Drosophila melanogaster: one gene and its partners. The protein of the gene in region 3 interacts with the protein of the main gene of each other region in a pairwise test. Each region holds a gene or a part of one and is shown on either strand. Other genes may lie near its edges. The genes, in order: CG14881, emp and Map60.

Region 1 (6,708 bases), on a different chromosome or scaffold from region 3:
GGCGCGACAAAAGAAGATGTACCAGATTGCGCAACTCATCGAGATTCCTGGACAGATGGACTCTCCCGTCTACGCTGTTGGTGGCACAATGGTCGCATCCAGTAGCGGCGGAAGTGGTAACAGCAGTGGCAGCAGTTCGCGCAGTAGTCACCACCGTCCCATGTTCTCCACGGCCAATCGAGTGCCGGGATTTGCAGCGGTGCTGCGTGGAAGCAATAGCGCTGGGGTTAGTCGAACCCAGATGGCCCCGAATCGATCCATCGAAGGGTAAGTTCACGTCGGTGTGTCCTCATGTTCCTCATTTCCATCCTCATCTGTGCGTCTTCCCGCAGAATTAGAAATGAAAGCGCTGGCCGCTCCCGACGCCGCAGTCCCAGCTCAACTTCGGGCTCGAATCTTAGGGCCGATCACTCGGATCGGGAGCGATCGCCCAGTGTTAGCATGGGCAGCCACAGCTCCTCGCAGTCTCGGGAAAACTCCCAGCCCAGAAGTACTGGAAATCGGTCGCGGGAGAGCAGCCCTAGAATGCCCAGGCCGCGGTAACAATGAAACATTTTCGTTAGCTCTGTAGTCTTAGAATGGTTTCTGTTATAATTGAGATTTGTAAAGTATTGCAGTATTCTAAACTAGTCTTTCTATTTTTTTTAATTGGATTACGCCCAAGACATCAAAAAGTTTATTTTATAATTTATCGAGCTGTTTACATGATTCTCGAAATTTGCTACATTTTTGGCTCCTTGGCCAAAAAAAAATCTTTAAGATTGACTAAGTTTGCTTGTAATACCACCTTGTATAATTATGTATAAAGATATCGTTTGTCCTATATTTTTATATTTATTTGCATATTATTTTGACAAATAAACAAAGAATAGCATGCCTTTAAGCCCTCCAGTTTTATCTGTCCTCGTTATTCTATGTGTTTGTTAATTATAAAATTTACTAATTTTCACCTAATCGAGTTATAAATAAATGTGTAATATTTTTTCATTCTAGGTCGGAGGAGATTCCTCTCGAGGACTTCCAGCACTCACGGAACAACAGTCCGCACTCTCGGGGAAACCCCTCGCCTGCCTCCCGCTCACACACACCCATCCGCGTGCTCCACTACGATCAGCTGTCCGGTCATAGCGGCTCACCACGTGAAGCGTCCCTGGGGGGAACTAACGCCCTGCTAAGCCAGTTAAATGGGCTGAACCGTGAAGTGCTCCCAACGCAGAGCTCCGAGGAGACTTCTTTTATTGGGAGCGACGGAAACGAGGCCACTGGCGGATCGGAGGGCAGGCGACGGGGGGCCATAGAGACGGTTTAAGATAGACTAGAAGTTTTAGTATTACATTGGAAGCAGCCTTATGCTTAGATTGTTGCTAAAATTTTGTTATTCCAGTTGACTAATAAGGTGGTACATACTCTAATTCCTTTTCATTTTAAATAAAAACTAATTTGACGAATTTGAGCTCAAGTCTATATATATATTAGTAAAGAAGTATGTTTTTTGAACCTTCGATAATGGAAGCCACAAATTATTGTTCTAAAATGTGGGTTTCTTATATTTCGCATATGTTCATTTTTATAACAAGGTTTTACTTTTAATTTTACTGAATTGTCTATAGACGCCAGTGCTGTTTTGTAGTCAGTTTTCAAGTAAATGTTCTATAATAATCTTTAAAATAACGGTCAATACAGGTTTAAAATTTGAGGAATGTCCCTATTGTCGGCCTTTTGTGTGAATGCCAACTGCACTTGGAAATCAGCTGTCGCTTGTTTTTGTTTCGTGACATAACCGCAATTTACTAAAACTTAGAAACTTAACTTAAATTATTTCATGAAAAGCATAGCAAACTAATATTAACTATGTCCCACAAGTACACGGAGCTGATTAAGGTCGGCACGCAGTATGCTCGCCGGATGAACTACCTCTCAAATCGCATTTTCGGCGAAGTGGCTCGCACCACAAACGAGAAGTCCATGAAGGTATGTTCTCGAAATAAATTTATTAATTAAAATGTAAACATGTTTTATCCGACCTTCCCCAGGTGGTTCGCATGTTCTCGGAGGAACCAATTCACAAACGGGACTACGTGATCAACTGGTATCCGCGGCACGTGGAGACGCACTTGCTGATGAAGAACCTTCGCGACTACGGACTGTTCCGCGATGAGCACCAGGACTTCAAGGAGGAGATGAAGCGTCTGCGCAAGCTGCGCGGCAAGGCGCCTCCCAAGAAGGGCGAGGGCAAGCGGGCCTCAAAGAAGTAGTAAAATAAATATTCTAACATCCACTTTTATTGAACCAAAGCTAGTCTTTTTAGTTGCGAGTCAGCAACTTGGCGCTGCCGGCGAACACCACCTCGTCGTTCTGCCTTATATCGTACTCCACGGTGGAAATCTTGCGAGATTGTAGCAGACGTACGGTCACCACGGTGTCGGTCTCAATACGACAGGGTTTCAGAAACTTGAAATTCTGCTCTAGAACCACGGTGCCCGGACCAGGGAGCTGGGTACCCATTATACCAGCCACCACCGCGTTGAGCAGGGCTCCATGGACGCGGCGCTCCTCGGTGGGCGTTTCCAGACTATGGATGTAGTTGTGGTCGCCGGTGAACTGGGCAAACTGCTCCAAATCGCTTTGGGAAAACCGCTTAACCACTTGCACCTGCTTCACTGCTTTGCTGCTCAGCTGTCGGAACGTTTGGGGAAGCCTTTTGCAGCTGGACAACCTCTGTGCGTGTTGCGAAATCTTGCAGCAGCAACTGACAAAGTTTAACGATGCGTTCATCGTGGGCCTTGACCCGCCACTCTTGCACCGTCCTTAGCACCGCAGGGCTCAGAAGTAAATCCCGTTCAGTCCGTTCACCAAATTCCAGTAATTGGTAAAAGAGCGCCAGGCTGTGAAGTACTATTTCCGGGTGATCAGTGCGCACAAAGAGGCCGGTTAGCAGTTTTAGCTGCTCTCTGATAAATTTGGCAGCCGTTTTGTCTGCAATAAGAATATGATGAACAAGGTTGGTTTGAAAATCAAATGTTTGCTTACCCAGGCAAAGGTTACACAATGCCGCAATTCCGTGCACTTTTAATAGCTGATCCTGTGTCTCCAGCGATGCCACAAATACATCCAAGGCGTCCGCCTCCAGGAGATGCGACCAGTTGATGGGATCGTATGCAAAATTGGCCAAATTAGCAGTCACCTGCTGCTGGGCCTCTAATAATGAAAATCAAAAATGAATTCACACCGGCAAAATGACGTGAATAAAAACCTTACCGATGTTGGTTGTCGTATAATACTCATCGACCAGGTGACCAATGTACTCCCGGCGGTCAATGCCCTGGGCAGGCGTCCTCCTCTTCAATGTCCTGTGGCTGGAGAACATAAAAAGGATGCGAAGGCAAAGCTGCGATTTGAAATCAGTCCCAAAATGCCATTCACAACGCAAACTATTCATGTTTTACCATTCACATATAAACGTGCTGAAATACATTGGGGGCAAAATAATAGCTTTCGGATTCAAAGCCACATTTATAAAAGTTATTTGTTTCATCTCATTTTTTTTTATAATGAGCAATTGGGTTGTTGTACAAAATCACACATGAATTTATTTGAAAACATAATAATTTTATTTCGAAATAATATATGACATAAATATTTTTTAGAAAACGTTAAACATTTTAATCAATTCCTTTTCCAATAAGTACATTTATACAAGAAGCGAAAAATACAATATTTCAAAGATTAATTTATTAAACCAAGTTTAGTTCTTTAAAGGTAAACCACCAGCAAAACGTCCTCATTACGCAGGCTCCTCCTCCTGACCTGAAGCCTTAACTCTCCTCCTTGCTGGGACTGTCTTTCCCCAAGAACTCTGTGTCATTGGAATTGCTGAAGTGGCTCCTGGCAGCTGCAACTGACTTTGGTGGGATGTTGAACAGTGGGTGGGTAGGCAGTAGCTCGTTAATGGTGTCGCCCAGGACCTGGGGGCTGCTGGCGCACTCCGAGTGCTGGGCAATGGAAACGCCACTAAGAGTATAGCATGTGTGGTAGAGATCCTGCGGTCTGAAAATATGGGTTTTACATTAAAAAACATCACAATGTTGGCATTAATCCCTTACTTTCCGGGTTTGTCGATAAGCCCGCCGCTCTGCTTTTGGCAGCAGAGCAGGATGTACTCCTGCAGGGCCTCCACATCGAAAAGGGTGTGCTCCATTTGCTTATCGACGCCGGATAGCGTTGCCTGCGTAATGGGAATGGTGGCTCCCACCCAGAAGGAGTAGCAGCCATCAACCAGTTTGTTGGTCCTCCCTTGGAAGCCGCCTTCGTAGGTCATCTGACGGCGCAGTGTCCATTTGAGCAAAGCCTGCCTGTCGCACTTATCAGCCTCGTTGAGCAGCGCCAGGCCCGCGATTCCGCAGAAGGTGTAGCCACCATGGGCCTCCAGACCAGGGGCTCCTCCAAATCCTCCCTCGTATGTCTGACACTGGGCTATCCAGTCGCCAGTGCCGGCAAATAGCTCCTTGATCACTGGCTCGGGAAGATTTAGCAGCTTTGCGCAGGAGATTGCGCAGTAGGCGCCACGCACATCCGTCTCACCATCCACGTGGAGCCGGAAGGAGCCGTCTGAGTCACGTACACTGAACAGGAACTGGACCAAAGTCGGTCGGTCTATGGCACGGTACGCCTGCTCGCTTCCGATGATGCACAGACTGTTCACTGCTGCATAGGTGGGCGCCAGATGGGCATACTGTCCAGGTCCTCCTCCAAAACCCCCAGTCGGCGAACGGCAGCTATGAAAGAGTGATTGGAGCATTAAGGATGCCTATTAGAGAAATATCCTTCAAAGACGCACTTGCTTAGAAACTGGACCACGTGGTTCAATGTCTGGTCGTCGAAGTTAAAGCTAAGTAGCTGGGCCGCCTGCAGGATCCAGTAAACGCACCACGCGCGACTGCTGTCCAGGCACTCGTAATTGGACGGCAGCCGCCTCAGCATCGCGTCCAGGTAGTACTGGTGCTCCAGCCGGAAGATCTGGGTGAGGCGCGGGTCGGTGAACATTATCTGCTCGAAGCGGTCGAAGCATTTCTCCACCGAACTCTCCGTCTTTTGCTGCAAGTATTCATCGGCTCTTATCTTTTCCTGGGCGACATTCGGGGATTACTCACTTGCTCGCGGGATGTGGTGGTGGACACCTTCTCGTCGTCGAAGATGTAGCTTTTCAGGCGCTGGAAGTTGCGGAACATCAGCTCCTCCTCGGTTCCCATTTCTACTCCGAGCCGGTTAAATTAAATTAAATAAACTAAAAAGATTTGCCGAGCAGGAATTTTAAGCGAATGGTTTTTGTTTGTGTGATGTAAATTCAACTTGCAACACTGCTTTTTATTTGATTAGGGTATTCCCTATACAAAAACTCGATTTATTTTCCTTTGGCTAGATATTAAAAAATTTTACATTTTAATAATTCATTATTTCCAACATTAAAGCCAGTAATATACAATTAAATATTTATAAAAAGACCATAAATTCACATTTAAAATTCTTAAAACTCGGTTATCGATGTGACATCAAACTTTCTGTGGTGACGAGATTGTAGGCGGTGGATTGAGAACTGGAGTCCAACATAAATGTCTCGGGTGCATCGTCACTAGTCCACAAGCCATACAGTTCCATAAATCCATAGACAAATAGACACACTATAAAATAGGCCGTCAGAGTGGCGAAAACCTGAAACACAATTAGCAATAAGATCTGCAATAATTGTATAATATAAATTTACATTGTTCGGGCACCGACATCACAAACTCACGAAAAAGCTTCCTCTGAGAATCAGGAACAGCCAGCCCTTCCAATCCAGCTTGCCGATCCACGTGATGAGGGGTTCCGATCCCGATGAGACATTTTGTGGACTGGGATCACCTATGGCACCGATTTCTCCGCCTTCCCCCCAGCTATCGCTCCTTAAAGGAAGATACCAGTCGTAATAGAGCTGCGTTAGCATGGGCACCTCAAATGGCGATTTTTTCTTGATTTTCTTCTCGATTGTGGGTTCAACTGCGACCGGCTCGGACTGACCATCCTGCAAATGCTGAAAGCAGTCGTTAAAATCGGCCAGGGTTAGCTTACGCAAATTGTCGCAATCATCTGACTTCTCATGCTTGGAATGGACAAAGTGCCTTGTTGGCCTGGTATTTTTCTTGTAAGGAAGCGCTTTGTTGGCTTTCGGCTCATGCTGCTAAACGGTAAGATTAATTTAGTATATAAAAATAATAGCTTGATAGAAATAGAAAATATAATAGAAAAAATATTACTGGCACACTCAAATCGTGTTCCAATAGGCCCCGGCGAGATTCGAACTCACGATCTCCTGTTTACTAGACAGGCGCTTTAACCAACTAAGCCACGGCGCCATATTCACGCATGTGGCACGACTTTACTTTAGTGCTTCCTCAACAAAAAATTTGTACATACGCACGCACTGCTTGACCCCATTGTTGCGATGCAAGCAGTGCACGAGCTTCAAGCCAAATACGTAAGATGGCGCCTGTGAGAATGCGTTGATATGGGTATTTAAACGCACGCAGATTTTCAATATTTTAGAAAAGGTAAAAACAAAAAGTTATTGGTATTAACAATATTTACCGATGGTGGCCCCCGCAAATCCAAAAAATTAAAGTCGAACTTTCCTTGCTTAATGAGGTCCAGCTCCTCCTCGGACACGAAATT
Region 2 (8,051 bases), about 15 Mb from region 3:
CTGATCGAGTGGTCCCTTGACGTTCGATTCAGTTCCCCCAAAGTGCATACAAACGGCCGTTTATCGGTGCTATATGGGTTTCACGAAGTCCAGATGGAGTTATGTGGCTCGTATGCTCCACGAGTCCACCCCGTCGTAATAGAGGGTATGATTCTTGGATGCTCTCGAAAATCGCTAGTGATTTTACGATTTCTCCACTGTTTTAGCTATAAGCGCTAAACTTTGCACTTTGAGTTCGCTCTAGCCTATCAACGCACACAGCCACGAAGTTTTATTATTTGCCGAGTTTACTGCGCTTTCCGAGCACCACAAGGTCGCACTTCTCCGCTTCTGGCTCTGCCCTCGCCCACCGAACTCGAGCTGGGCTTAAATATTTGCGCTGTTGTATTCAGATGGCTATTGGATCCACCATTGTTGGCATCGCCGCTAACGTTGCCGATGCCGATACCGATGCCCATTGAATACTAATTAACCATAATATAATAATAATAATTATTTCACCTCAAATGAATTTTCGGCGACACTGGTCGGTCAGGCCATTAATCAGTGATTTCCAATTTGGATTTGGCTACCCATGCCTTCAGTTGTTTGGCTCTTTGCCTGCTAATTGGGCTCTGCGTTCACGCCCCACTGGGCTGCTTTGTTCCGAATAACGACTGCAACCGTGCAGCCTGCTCACTGCTCGGAATCAGTACCCGTCGGGCCCAAATGTTTACACAGACCGTATGACTCAGCGTTGCCAAGTGTTTACCCAGAACTTGAGCGACTCTTATCAGCGTCGAGCTCGCCGCGAAGTATGCAAATCTGTGAAACGGGAAACCCTAGACCCAGCAACACCTTTCCATAACAATAGCGCTTCTCGGCATTCCATCCAACTGCGATTTCTGATGTAATGGCTTGTTTTATTTTTGATTTCACTTGCTGTGGCTGTTCAATTAGCAGCTGCTGGCTTCCTAACGCAAATCGCCTGGCCAGAATCCAACTTCAATAGAAACTTACTTTCTAAACACACGTTTGGTATGAGCTGAGCCGAAAGCGGTATTGCGGCGAAGCCATCCGCTCCTCGGCTTTGATCAGCTTGGTGGCGCAGAGATCGAGCTGAATCGTCTCATAATTTAAACGCAGTGAAAAAGTGTTGCACAAATAAATACAAGCGGTAGTAGCTGTTTAGTGGAGGCAATTACCCTGACCCAAATTGTGAGACGCTACCCTTGCGGAGGGTATTACATTCAGAGTTGCACTCCTACAAGTCACTGTCAACCAAGATGTCTGCACTATTTCTTGCCTCTATCGGGGCTTTGTAGGGAAAAAGATTTTCCACGGGTTTTCAATCAAAGCTCCAGAAAATTCCCAAACACAGCTTTAAAGAGTATTTGAAACTTCGGACCGACCCCTCTTTATATGATCCCGCTGATTATGGACAATGTGACACTGACCGTCCAAAAAAGTATGCCAGCGGATGACAATTCACTTGCCGTTTTGTCGTGCCGTGCTGCATTTGATAATACGCAACGAAATGGGTTTTACATCTAGGACTTAAACCATGTTGGTGTCGTCGTCAATGGCGTGACAGACATGTGCGGACTGAAGTGGTTCATCTTGGACTTTCAGTGGGTCAGTTCCGCCGTGGGAGAGACAGGGGACTTCGGAGTGCGAAGCGTGCGATGGCTTTCTCAGTGAAATGTGTCAACAGTTGGCTAAGACAAAGCCACCCAATTGTCACCTCAATTAGATGATCAACTGGGCACAGCGGTAGGGCAAACCGACCTGATGACGGAGATGGCCCAAAGCTCTTTGCTGCTGCAACCTTCACATAATCGTCTTCGTTATGTGGTCAAAAGCTGGCTGGCCCCTGTTCATTTATTTATAAGTATTTATCTTAGGTTTTCTTGCCTGCGCATGCTTAATTTCGGATCTCGCGTCTCGTAAATGTGTGTTTGGCTTTGCTTTTTATTTGATTTCGCTGTGAGTCGCTGCTTCGTGGCAGCCCGAGTGAAGTGCAGAGCGAAATTTCACTTTTTCCACACAAGTAATCATAAAACTATGCACGTACATCAAATGCGCTTTTGGCAGGGCCGCAGACAGCGTTTAGACGCGGAGGCAGCACAGAAACCGAAGCAGAAATAAAAACACAAACACTGAAAAATCATAGCCCCCAAGCATAATTCAATGATTTTCCGCTTTTGTAGCGCTGCTAAGCGAACTCGCTGTCGAAGTGGTTTCATTTTGGCTGACTGGGCAAGGTCTTGCTTAACCAGCGCTCTGATTGGAGTCGAAGTTGGTGACTGGGATGCGGATTCGTACTCGGACCGTGGAACGGGGACCAAGGGTCTGCTACCGATCGGGGCAGAAACAATAATTGAACTCAGCTGTAGTCAGGCAAATCCTAGGAATGCGGCTCGCACTGCTGCCCCAACACTCTCTTACTGCCACTGGTGCCTCGTATCTGGTGCGGCAGGTTTGATTCGGGCTGGACGGGCTGGAAACCACAGGCATTTCCAAATAGCCATGCCAACTCACTCACTCACACTGTTTTTGACGGTAACACGGACTTGCGGCGGTCCGATGTACAAGCCAAGATTCTTGGGCCCGGGCTATAACGAGGAAGGTAATCGTTGATCGGTGAGCAGGGAACGTTAAGCAACAACCGCCGGTAAAAATCGTTAACGACTCGAACGCTCGCAGTGCCGTCAAGTAACTGAAGTCGCCGTCTTCAAGTGGCCCCCCAACGTAAGATCGTAAGATGTTCAGGCGGCGAAAGCTCGGCTTCGCGTTGCGACAAAGCACAACTGGAAAACCTGATAAACAGGTAGGCGAAACCCCCAGCCCGGCAGGTGGGTAGCAATGCAAAAGCGAGAGTGAGCAAGCGGGAGCTTTTGGGTTTTGCTAGTGCAACGCATGCGATCAAAGCACGAGCGGATCGGCATCGGGCGAGGCGGTCCATGTGGTTGCCAATGTTTGGACCAGGCTGATAAAACGAGTTTGTTGCCTTGCCTTGCATTGAAGTCTTTCGTTTTGTTGCGTTGCGCGTTTCGTTTTATGCTACTAACTCCAAAAATATCACTGATTGCCACACCAACACACTCGTCCACTCGCGGGATTATGATATCTGTCGTTAGTGCTCTCGCGGTTGTGGTTGTTGTGGCAGGTGACTCACGGGTTGGTTGCCAAACTCAGCACAATAACCACATCCACGATCGACGACAGGTTGCAGTATGCAGAATGTATGCAAATTTGACAGCTCCGTCGATCTCAAATTATTGTTATTGTCGATGGAGCTTTTTGTCTGCATTGCGAAGCGTTTCTTTGCTGCCTGCCCAGAATCAAAATCTCGCCAAAGCGAAGTCTAGGATATGCGCGATTCAGCTGTGGAAAAAACTGGCGTCAGAAACTTGCTGTATTTACATAATCAATCAACAAGGGGAAATCAATAAAGCTAATGCGATTCAATGAATTGCCCACGTTTTCTTTTCATGCACGGACTTCTTGGTAAACAGCTGGAGAAATTCCGGCTGGTGAATCGCTTCTTCTGCATAAACTGGGACTTGCTAAATAAACAAGTAAGCTGTTTTCCCAGACAAATTATAAAATCTAATATTATAAGAACGGAAAATACAACGGGCACATAGAAAAATCTAAAGTCCACCCTGAAAATATAGTGGACTTTCAGTTGCATGGCGGTAGCGCATCTGGTTGCATTATATAATATATAACATAACATATAACATGATCCAATATAAGCCTTAACTCTTGGGCAATCGTCACACACTAATATAAATATAATTCTACATTTCTTTGTAGTACGTACATAGAAGGTAGGCCAAGACAATATCGCCCCAATGCTTGTGACATTCCACGCCAAGTCCAACCACACATAATCACCTTAATGGAGACCCGTATCCGAAGCTTGACTCCGCGGTGACTTTGCATGCCAATAAGGCTAACCGGGTTGCATGCGACCTTTCTGTTTATGTAAACTGTCGTACAAAGTGGCGCATTTGTTGCTGTAAATGATGCAATAAATAATAACAAAAACACCGCGAAAACAACAACGGCGTACGCATATGCTAATTCAGCTCCGATGGCGTGTCATCATAGCCCCGAAAGCAGTACCAAGTCTAACTTCTGTAATGATTCCATTTCTGACTTACTATGCAGAATGTCGTCCAACTGCATGGCCAACGATCAGAGTTCCATTAAGATTTCAAGAGTTCCAAAGGGTTTTGAGCACTCTCCCAACTGTTTGGCTTCACTACAGTGTACTGGTGTTCTGATATTCGATTGTGTTTGTGAATTGTTTGGCACTTTACTGCCTGGCAACCGGGTTGATAAGGCAGCTCACTCGGGTGATAAGATTCCTGTAAGCGGTCGAAGGGTAGTGGGCACTAGCCGATAATAACCGGCACGAGCAAACATCTGTCGAGGGCGGCTTACGGGAGACCCTAAAACAAGTTTAAGTAACTCATTTAGCCCCTTGAGCTGTCAGCCGAACTTGAACACCGCACAATTAACTGGTCCGTCGAGAGTGCTCAGGTTAATATTTCAGGCAGGTCTGCGAAATTGAGGGGCCAGTAGCTAGCACGACAGATTAAGAGATTGAATACCCGTGCGCGTCAACCGATCAGAGGAAAACAAAAAGTTCAGAGCGGCTATCAACTGTGCTGATGCGAAACCCGATGAGGTGGGCAATAGGCAGGCATTTCGGAAAAGGGACGTTTTGAAACGGCGGAATACTTGAATTGATAAAGCTAAGCTCATTTACACTTGGGGTTCAATAACACGGCTCCGGCGGGGGTATTTGCGATCTTCCGGCCTTTCTGCCATCTCAATAATCCAAGAAGGGGCGCGATAAGCCAGTTTAAATACGTCCTCGTCTCAAAATTACAAACGAGAGCAAGATATGAAAGCATATTCAGCATTTGTGTATTCGTCGCAGTTCTCAGAGTGCATTTCACCGCCGTTAATTACTTGGGTAAACCAAATGCAGGTCCATGGGTAAAGGGAACCCAAGTACTTAAGGGATATTTAAATTGTTTTGGCGACAGCGCACACCTAAAAATAGTTATGGGACTTTTTAAATATTTGCATCAGCGTGCCATAATATAAAATCAAAACGAAAACAAAACATCGACTGGTTTATTTACACTTTTTAAAGGAAATCTATAAAGCCTCCGTTTCTGAGCCTCCTCCTTAACGAATCCATTCTGATTCAATAATAATGATGCGCAGACGAAGCTGGAGCGGAACGAGCAGCTGGAGGTTTGGTACATCTTATATAATGCTCCGAGTGGATTCATTGTTTTGACGATTTGCTTTGCACTTTGTCTCGCGGGTACGCACAAAGCTGCTACGTAGTAAACAAGGGATCCCGATTTCTTGATTTCTCGACAGCGCAGTCGGCGCCGGCTCCGTCCAGCGGTAATCTGCAATCATAGCTGACCGCCTGCCCGGTTATCAGTGCGGCGGCAGCGGCGTCGACCTATGCAGCGACGGCAACTGCGACAGCAAAGAATGAGGAAAGAGGAGCGACTGCTCTGCTGGCATTGCTCAGTTCAGTTGCCCAGCTCGAACTGATTCCGTCCGATTCCGACGTCGTAGTAATAACTTGTTTGGTCGGCAGTACGCACAGTCCAGTCCAGCGGAGAACCAGTCCCAGTTCCAGGCCCGCTCTCTAATCCCAGCGCAGATCGGATCGCCGCGAAACGGGCCAAATCTAATCGGTTCCGTAAGGTTCTCGGCCAGATAGTGCGTGGGCCGGCCCGAGTATGTAGCTAATCGCAGCAAACCAAAAATTTGCAAGTGGATCAACCGGTGGCAGTGGGCCAAACTCGAACTCCGTGCGCAGATAATCAAATTCCGCAAGGCAGTCCGTCTTTAATTGCTGCTTTGAAGTGGAAGTGGCGGCGGAAACTAATATGCGCTAGATTCGTGCACTTACATCTGGACAGGAAAACTGCAGTACGGTTGGAAAACCTGATATTGCTCTAGCTCTAACTCTAGCTTCAACTCTACGCTCCAGCTGCAGCTGGAATTAAAACAACAACAGACCAGCCAGTGCGATCGAGCCCACAAAAGAGACGGCGACAAAACAAAGAAGCGGGCGAACAAAGAACGCGCAGCAACAAAAGAACGAAGGAACACAGAGGCACAGATACAGACACCAGATACAAAACGAGTCTGTCGCATAGATACATCTCATAGGTGGTGCATCCAGCAGGAGTATCTATCGGTAGGGGAGCGGAATGAGACCCGAAAAAAACCCAATAAACACGACTGTGTTCAGCCAGCGTAAACGCGACGAAATTGTTAATTAAGACGCCAAATGTTTGGCAGACTTCGAAAGTGCAGAGCACTGAACAGCGAGTAAACAACGTGAAAGAGAGTGGCAGAGAACGCCAGATAAGCGCGTGTGGGTGCAGTTCGTCTCCGAGAGAGTGGTTCCGATTCCAACGGAGCGCGCACGTTTGTGTTGCCCACCGAAAATCAGCTGGTGCCCCAAAGCTCATTCCAAGTGCACGTTGATCGTGACCGCGCTCTTTGCAGGCGCTCTCCAGCTCAGTGCCACCCACTCACCCCCTTTCTATCACCACGCATCACGTTATCAGCCAATGCCTCTTTTCTGCAACTGAAACGCAGAGGAGGAGCGCGGAGAGAAGTACGAACCATTTGCGATTTCAAGAGGTCGACAAGTAAGTTAGAGTGAACTGCAGAGTAAAAGCATACCATCCTTAGATCAGACCCTAATATATCACAGTGGAAGCAATCACAGCCTAGGATTCAAAATTGTCAAGATATACAGATTTCCTTTGACCGCCGATTTAAGATAGTCCTCGGTTGATGTCGAAAGTTCCAGAAATCAGAGAAGAGTGCTTCGGACTTTTTTCAGATTGGTCCTATTTTTTTTTGAAAACAGCTAATTCCACTATCAATTTAATCGTTTCACCCGACCGTTTCACCAATTATTTCAATTCCGTTCACATTCGAGTTCAAGATCGACCGCATTATTGGAAAATTTAAACACCCAGGGAGCGCGTTATCGGATGCCGTTGACCCGATTTCAGAGTTGGCGAATCGAACTAAATCTCAACTCTATACATATAGTGCCCATACTGATACGTGTTGTTTCCATTTAATAATGAATTAATGCCTAGTAAGTATGTGCCAAGCTTATGTACGCAGGAGCTGCTGATAAGGCTAGAACACATACGGTTGAACTTTGAATTCAGCACGGGCAGATCCACAAGCTCCGAAGCAACCAAGGCTCTCGGAATTGAAACCCCGATTAGTTCGTGGAAACATTTGTAAGCGCATGGTTAAAAATCTGTCTGGTGCGTCAAAAATAGTTTAAAATTAGCACAACGAGCAAAGAAATTGAATTAGGTTCTACAACGTATTAACTATTAGGTGTGAATTATAGCAATTTAAAAGGAGGTGCTCAGTTTTCTTATGTGTTCAATGAACCCCGAGTTCCTAGGGTAATATATAGCCCATCCTGATAAGCTTAGTTATGCCAAACGATTCCTGGGTTGAGCCACGTGTTCCGCATTTATAAAGATAACACTATATAAATTTAATATTAATGAACAAGATTTTGAATTCCAGCTAAGTTACATGTTGCTCGTGTTTACTTTCTGAACCGGGGACAACATACGTATAGGATAACGACATTTACTATTACTCCCATTTTAGCGTGCAGCGACAGACTATCAGAAAACAATGTCACATACCAAAGATGCAGAGATGTCCATGCCCGCTCGGCAGGAATCTGATCGTACATCGGCCCCATCTGTTACTAAATCCCTCACTCTGAACTCTACTCGGAGCGGGGTGGGCACGGGAAACTTTGGGGGCTACGGCATGACGAACGGGGCCGAGAAACCTTCTGTGCTGCACATGATAATGGAAGCCTTGGGTCTACGCAATCAGGCTCAAAACCGCGAGCCAACATCCAAGGATATTGGAACTCTGATAAGTGAGTAGAGCACTCTCGGCAAGCCCGACATGCTTGATTAATGCGGTTCACTTTTTTCAGTGCTGGGCGTAATGTTTTT
Region 3 (7,173 bases):
GCGCGCACCCCGCGCCATCAAGGAGATCCGCAAGTTCGCCGAGCGGGAGATGGGCACCACCGATGTGAGGATCGACACCCGTCTGAACAAGCACATCTGGTCCAAGGGTATCAGGTGCGTAGTCCTTAATTTCCTCCGATTTAGCATCCTTTCTAATCCGCCGCTAATCCATCCACCCTTCCAGGTCCACTCCATTCCGCATTCGCGTGCGCCTGGCGCGTCGCCGCAACGACGATGAGGACTCCCCCAACAAGCTGTACACTTACGTGACCTATGTGCCGGTGTCCACGTTCAAGAACTTGCAGACCGAGAATGTCGAGTCCAGCGACGACTAAGCAACGTAATTGACGGCCAAGAAAACACGGTTAATAAAAAGTAATTTTTATTTAGAAAAAACAAACAAAACAAGTGACTTAAAGTGTAGTAAACTGTGGCTGCAGCAAGTAGACCGACTCCTCCGTGGCCATGGACAGCAGTCGCAGCTTATGGCTGGGCAGATAGAGCACCTCCAGGGCATGAGCCTTTGGCAAGGCGCTGTCGCCGAGGATTTGCTGGAATCCCGCTGCTCCGCGGTGCTGGTAGATGCGAAGCGGTTGCTGCGGCAGTACGTTGGACACACAGAGCAGTAGATCGTCGGACTCGGGCAGGTGCATAAAGCGCATTACCCGCGACTGTTGGGAGTCCTCGAGCTCCAGGACTTGGTCCAGTTGGAAGCTGCTCGTGTCTGGGCTGCCGAAGCTGCAAAACGAGTGAAATCCTTGTAAATGCCCTATGCGTGAAGTGCTTATGAATATCTACCTGTAAATCCGAATCTCTGCTGCTGGCGATGAAGCCATCAGCGCCACATATCCGCTCTCTATGCCAGCACCTCCTTGACTAAGAGCCATTTGCTCCACCTGCCCATCTATCAGCCTGCTTGATAGAGAGTAATTGCCATTACTCCACTTCCAAAGCTCCACCGCTCTGGGAGTACGAAGTAGAATGGTCATATCATCTGAATCAGCGACCGGCAACAACTGTTTTACGGCCCGCCTGGGCAAGATTGCTTCCCTGCTGTTGTTCTGCTCATCTAGGCATCGGATTACTATCTGGTTCTCCTCTTGAAGTGCCCGGCACTGAAATCCATATGATCTGAATTGCAGTTTCTGCGGGTTCTGTGCCTCCTCATTGATTGGATTCAAGTTTGTCTTGTTTAGTTGTGTCAGTGCTGTGCCTACAAAAAGGAAAGCAGTGTTTTATAGATGTGTCCGTGGAATACTCTTCCTATAATTCCACTCCAAATATAGGCTATACGGATAGGACTTTATCGATATTAATAGGTGGTTTTTTGCCTATATCTTAATCTATGTTGAAACATTTTCAAGTTTTAAAATATTGCTTAAACCAATTTGAAAATGTGTACGACTCTTTTAGAGGGTATATCAAAACAACAGATAAGAAAGCAAAACAGTGAGGTTAGACTGCTAGCATTTAAAAGCAGAACTCGACCATTTTCCGGCAGAACAGGGACAGATTGTGATACACCAAGACTTCTCGTAGAGACCATTACGATTAACCATGAGAAGGCACTTGCGGGCAAGTCTTTGGATCCTTTGTTTGGCCACCATGGCGTTTTCCATCCTTGCGGCAGTAAATACTTCGCCCAAACCAACGCTGACTTCGGCGTTTAGGTGAGCAGCGCATACAGCGTATTCTTTGTTCGCTAAGATCCGCCCCTTTGCAGTGGAAAAGCTGGCACCACTGCCGTGAAGGCGAATAAGACGACGGGTGAGCTGCTGCCCATGGTCATTAACACTTGGAACTTCACGGCTGCCAATGTGCTCGCCTGGCGAATCCTGAAGCAAAGCAAGGGTGGACTCCGGCAGACGCGGAATGCGGTAGTGGAGGGCTGCTCGAAGTGTGAGAAACTCCAGTGTGACCGAACGGTGGGCTATGGCGGATCGCCGGACGAGTTGGGCGAAACCACACTGGATGCCATGGTCATGGACGGGGCCACCATGGATGTGGGGGCAGTGGCTGGTCTGCGACGCATTAAGGATGCCATTAAGGTAGCCCGGCATGTTCTGGAACACACGCAGCACACCATGCTGGTGGGTGATGCGGCGTCAGCTTTCGCCAATGCTATGGGATTCGAATCAGAGTCGCTGGTCACGCCGGAGTCGAAGGACATGTGGTTACAGTGGACGGCTGAGAACTGCCAGCCAAACTTCTGGAAGAACGTTCACCCGGATCCCAAGGTCTCTTGCGGCCCGTATAAGCCGCGGCCGACTCCGCTGACCCGCTGGAAGGAGGACCGTGCCCGCAATGAGTATGAGATCGGACGCAAGAACCACGATACCATCGGCATGATCGCCATCGACGTGGAAAGCAACATCCACGCCGGCACCTCCACCAACGGGGCGCGGCACAAGATTCCCGGACGGGTCGGCGACTCCCCCATTCCGGGTGCTGGCGCTTATGCAGACAACGAGGTGGGTGCAGCCGTGGCAACCGGAGATGGAGATGTGATGATGCGCTTCCTGCCCTCCCTGCTAGCGGTGGAGACCATGCGGGCGGGAAAACCTCCGGCTGAGGCAGCTCAAGAGGGCCTTCGCCGCATTCTCAAGCACCACAAGGATTTCATGGGTGCTCTCATCGCCGTAGATCGGCTGGGTAATTATGGCGCTGCCTGCTACGGCCTGGCCGAATTCCCCTTTATGGTTAGCAGTCCAGCCGGAGCGGATGGGCCTACGCGCTTGGAAACGGTCAAATGCATAGGTGGTCAGGACAAAGTAAATATCGTGGCGTTGTGAGGTGGCGAAAACTGTAACGTATTTCAATAAAATTTAAATTTCGTGGAGTTCTCATCTGCAATATAAATTGCGTTATTTGTTTGTCCCTATCGGCAGCAAGATAGACGGGTAGTTTTACCGTAAATTAGCGGTATTAAGAATTATCGATATGTAAGGATCCTTACATAAAATAAATAAATAAAGTATGAGAATAGAATAGAAAAAGACAAAACAAAAACCATTCCTTCGATAGTTATGACTACCAAAATGAATAACTTTTCCTTATGGAGAAACATTATAATTGTTATATAAGTAAAAATAATGCAAGTATTAATATTTATAGTGATAAATATAATATATAAAAATTTAATTTTCACTGCATCGAGAGCTGTGAACTGTGAACATCTATGTTGCCAAAATCTCCCTCATCCCTAAGTTACTGTACCAAAAGGCGGCATTTCTAGTATTTGCGTGTTGCACGGTCACATTTTCCGCCAATTTACCGACGCCAAATACAGAAGAAAAGAGAAGCGAACGGTGCGAAAGCGGAGAGAAAAACAAGCGGATCCTAGTTACATATACCAATTCGTGTGTCGCGTGTTATCAAAACAGCCTCCAAAATTATCAGGAACGCGCAACCAGCGGGCCGCAAGTCGCTGACTAAGATGGCAATCCAACTGGACAAGATTCTGCAGGACATCGCCAAAGAAAAGGTGCTGCATCCAAACAATGGCGGCGCCAGCAAGCAGGAGCAGGAGGAGGCGTGGGCCAGGATCGGGCGTCTCAACAAGCTCTCTGTGCACGAATCGCGCTCCATCTTCATAGTGCTCCAAAAGAAGTACGAGCAGGAAAAGCTAAAGGGCAATTCGGCGTGGAAGCTCTTCAGTCTGATGCATCAGATCCATCAGGAGCCTAAAATCTCAATCAAGGAGGAGAAGTAAGTGGCGTAAATAGTCCTCTAACCGTGAAACACTAACAAAATTTCTACTGCTATTCTGCAGTGATCAAGTACCCATGGAGGAGGTGGAGGAGTACGAAATGCTGGAGGTGCAGGAGCCTGAGGACGAGGATGACGCCCATCAGTACGGACAGCACACCAACTCTACCGGCTCGGCGTCCTCCGACGGCGAAAGCCCCACAAAGTCACACAGCACCGGTTCGCCAGAAAAGGACGAGCGGTTGGCGTACGCCAAACCCAACGTCGACACTCCTCGCCCAGCCATCGAGGAGAAAAAGCTGCTCAACACACTGGCTAACAACACACCGCGAAGTAGCTCGCTGTCCGCCGCCGCAGCAGTACTGCAAAAGAAGGGAATTACTGTGAAGAAGACGCCCAGCTCCGCAGCAGCACCGAAACCGGCTATTGGGCAACAGGCGCCAGCCAGTGGGCAAAGATCAAGCTCCTCGCGCACCACCATTCAGCTGCCAGATTCTTTGAAGCGCAAACTTTCGGAGGAGTACACCTCGTCATCGGCGCAAAAAAAGCAGACCAAGACCACGAGCCCGAAACAAGCCGCTTCATCGGCAGCCGCAACTTCAGTGCACACCAGCGTTCCAGATCAACTGCCGGCGGGAAACAATGTGGTGCACACAACCACTGCCCAGCTGATGCAGGTTAAGAAGGAGCGTGAGGACAACCAGACACCACCGCCGGGTATCAACATCATCACCATTCCATCGGCACAACAGATAAACGGTGGTGGTGGGGGAGCGAACTCATCGACAGCCGCCACCATTGCTTCCACCTCGGTGGCTTCCACAAACGGCTTTTCGCCACACATCGACGAGCTGGACTTTAAGAATGACATTATCTTCGGGCCGAAGATCAACGCCGCCTCCTCCAATACACCCGAGATTATCAACCTGGGCAACTTTGACAACTCGCTGCCGCCAACCTTTTTCAAGAATCTATGCAACTCGTCGCGACACGAGTCTCTCGGGCTGTACGTGGCCAATGTGATGAACAGACTCTCTTCGCGTGCCTCCGCCAAGCTGGAGCTGTCCATCTTGCGCGCCATCCTCGATGTGCAGAGCGACGAACTGGAGCAGTAGACCGACTGATACTCGCAATTTAAATGATTACTCAGCTTACTTATTAGACAAACTAAAAAGGTAGTTATGTAGTAGGCCTGTCTGAACCATTTCTCGTATTTATCGTATTATTTTTTCCGTGTTCAAACGTCTGCGTTCTGTGCCGCCCACTTGTAAAATGTATTTACTCACAGTTCTGGTATGAGTGTTCATAGCATTTACGCATGAATTTTAAAGCTAAATTTAAAATGTATTTCTAATATTTGAGATTTCGAATTTGTCCCTATTTAAGGTTGAATATGCTACTTGATTTTAAAATACGTTTATATGCAAATAAATCTACATAACTTACTTGAACTTCGCCCAAAAAGATGTATATCCGGTTGCCATGTGTAAGTAGTCCCTACTTCGCTGGGCATCTGCTCCCAGATGGCCAGTACGTCCTCGTTGTCCACGGAGATGATCTTCATGTGCGAGGCCTTATGAGGTAATTTCTGCAGCACAGCAAAGCCTTCCAGCACTTTAGGCGGCTCTGTTGGTTGAATTTAATGCACATGACTAAAGGAGAATTTGTATTAATGTGTTTTTAACATACTGGCCAATCTGTTTTTAATAGCTGCCACATTTTCCTGCAGCTGCTGCCAATCATGAATGTCATTCGATTCGACACCCCGCTTTTTCTTGTAATATTTATCCAGCAGCCCATTTCCGTTGCCCGCTTCGTAGTGACCCACAGTGAGGGGCTGGGTGAAGATCAGTTGGCTTTCCACGTGAAGATTGGGACGGTTTTCTGCCTTGCTGACCAGTAACTCGTTAACGGGCAGATCGTTGACGAAATCCACCCAGAGATTCTTCACATTATTGCTCATAACTCGCTTCTGTTCGGGAAGACTATTCGCCACCAGCAGGGAGCCCGGTATATCCTGCTCATTGTCCATCAAAATGAGCTTGTCCGCCTGCCAGGGGACACCATTTACAGACCCGTTCACGGTAAGATCGTTGTAGAGATTGACATTATTCAGATGAGTAATGCCAGAAATACTGTGGTTCCCGTAAAGGTAGGCTGCTCCATGGATCCACTTGGCCACAGGCACATCCGCCACCTGGCTTTCAGGGGTTGTATGGAGACGATTTATAGTGCCGCCCTGGACAGTTTTCAATGCTTCGACTATCAAGGGAAGATTGATACTGTCATTTTGAAGAGGCATTCTAACGACATCATTAGCAAGGTTTAAATTATTTATGTAAATATCGTTTAGATTTCCCGAAATAAAGGCCTCAGGCAGTTTCCAATATCCACTTATAGCGTGAGAGCCGGCTGTTTTCAACGAGTGAGTTACAAAATCATCAAAATCTAGGGAGAAGTTGCTAAGAAATGAAAAAGATTTATTTTAATATAGTATTAACCATTTGGTAGCATGGTATTCCTCACAAAATTCCAGGCGAGAGTAAAGCCATGTATAAATTTAAAAAATGTTTTATAGAGTAGTACTTATATTTATGATCCGAAAATGATTTATAATTAATCTTTTAATCCCAAGTTCTATAAATTCGATTTATATTTAAATTCAACGATTATTGTAGAGATCGATAATAGTTGTGAAAACATCGATATACCGATGCTTCTGCCATCCCCAGCTGCCAGGCGTTTGGGATTCTAGCGAAGACGTTTTTGTTGTTTCAAATCACAAACCTCTGCTCTGCCGAAACTGCCCGACCGTAAAAAGTGCATTTAACCAAACCCAATCAGCGACCAATTGACAAGGTAATTAAGCACACCTGCGAGTGTTCGAATTAAGTGCAACCCCCGCCCCGCGCTACGTACAAACGTGTACAGAAATTTCACCTGCCAAACGGAATGCACAGCTGACTTCTGCGGATGCAGTGACTCTAAAACTGTTAGCGCGTAAACAATTGCGAAAGTGAAACGTGATACCAACTTTACCCCTGTTCATTGCCCCCTGCCCCTTGATCATTTGGTCAATTTCACTTACCTACTGGTGCCCTCCATTAAAACGCCGCTGCTGCCACGTCGTAGTTTTACGTATTTGGCAACTGGAGGCTGTGCGAACGTGACGTCATGCTGGAAGCTCAGGGGAGTTTTCAGCAGATTGCTACGCGTCCGGCTGAAGTAGTTGTGAGTTATATGATCCACTTGGTGCCCGTTGATGGGTCCCTATGGGGAAAGGTGTTCTTGTAAACAACATAGGTTTCTACTGTGCAATACCCACTCACCTGGAATTCCAGCAGGCCTTCGAATTGCCCAGATTCCAGTTTTATTTCTCTCAACTCAATCTGCTCGTTGTCCAGCCACACCTGATCAAGAAGGTTTCCTAGATTGTGGCCATTCAGGAGCTGATAAGAGGGTTCT

What was found.
Region 1: the proteins of Map60 (region 3) and CG14881 interact in a two-hybrid assay, tested with the Drosophila melanogaster proteins (one large-scale study listed by BioGRID).
Region 2: the proteins of Map60 (region 3) and emp interact in a two-hybrid assay, tested with the Drosophila melanogaster proteins (one large-scale study listed by BioGRID).

What each region holds. Positions count from the first base shown.
Region 1 is NT_033777.3:16,431,624-16,438,331, reverse strand, and holds CG14881 (uncharacterized protein), read right to left. Parts: upstream 3,434-6,708; 5' UTR 3,368-3,433; coding exon 3,259-3,367; intron 3,199-3,258; coding exon 3,031-3,198; intron 2,977-3,030; coding exon 2,765-2,976; coding exon of another isoform or gene 2,677-2,764; coding exon 2,305-2,676; 3' UTR 2,266-2,304; downstream 1-2,265. Other genes in the region: ema (endosomal maturation defective), read left to right, coding at 1-267, 333-539, 994-1,309; mRpS33 (mitochondrial ribosomal protein S33), read left to right, coding at 1,852-1,971, 2,034-2,255; Fntb (farnesyl transferase beta subunit), read right to left, coding at 3,816-4,047, 4,104-4,775, 4,838-5,094, 5,151-5,249; CG31279 (uncharacterized protein), read right to left, coding at 5,536-5,733, 5,792-6,217, 6,625-6,708.
Region 2 is NT_033778.4:24,980,499-24,988,549, forward strand, and holds the start of emp (epithelial membrane protein), read right to left. Parts: upstream 4,297-8,051; 5' UTR 4,177-4,296; coding exon 4,152-4,176; exon of another isoform or gene 4,061-4,151; intron 4,005-4,060; exon of another isoform or gene 3,883-4,004; intron 2,707-3,882; exon of another isoform or gene 2,529-2,706; intron 661-2,528; exon of another isoform or gene 502-660; intron 1-501. Other genes in the region: CG3829 (uncharacterized protein), read left to right, coding at 7,717-7,972, 8,033-8,051.
Region 3 is NT_033778.4:9,587,593-9,594,765, forward strand, and holds Map60 (Microtubule-associated protein 60), read left to right. Parts: upstream 1-3,274; 5' UTR 3,275-3,436; coding exon 3,437-3,708; intron 3,709-3,772; coding exon 3,773-4,823; 3' UTR 4,824-5,152; downstream 5,153-7,173. Other genes in the region: RpL31 (ribosomal protein L31), read left to right, coding at 1-114, 185-335; clos (closca), read right to left, coding at 414-738, 799-1,213, 5,155-5,334, 5,398-6,170, 6,797-6,978, 7,038-7,173; CG1827 (uncharacterized protein), read left to right, coding at 1,558-1,670, 1,724-2,792.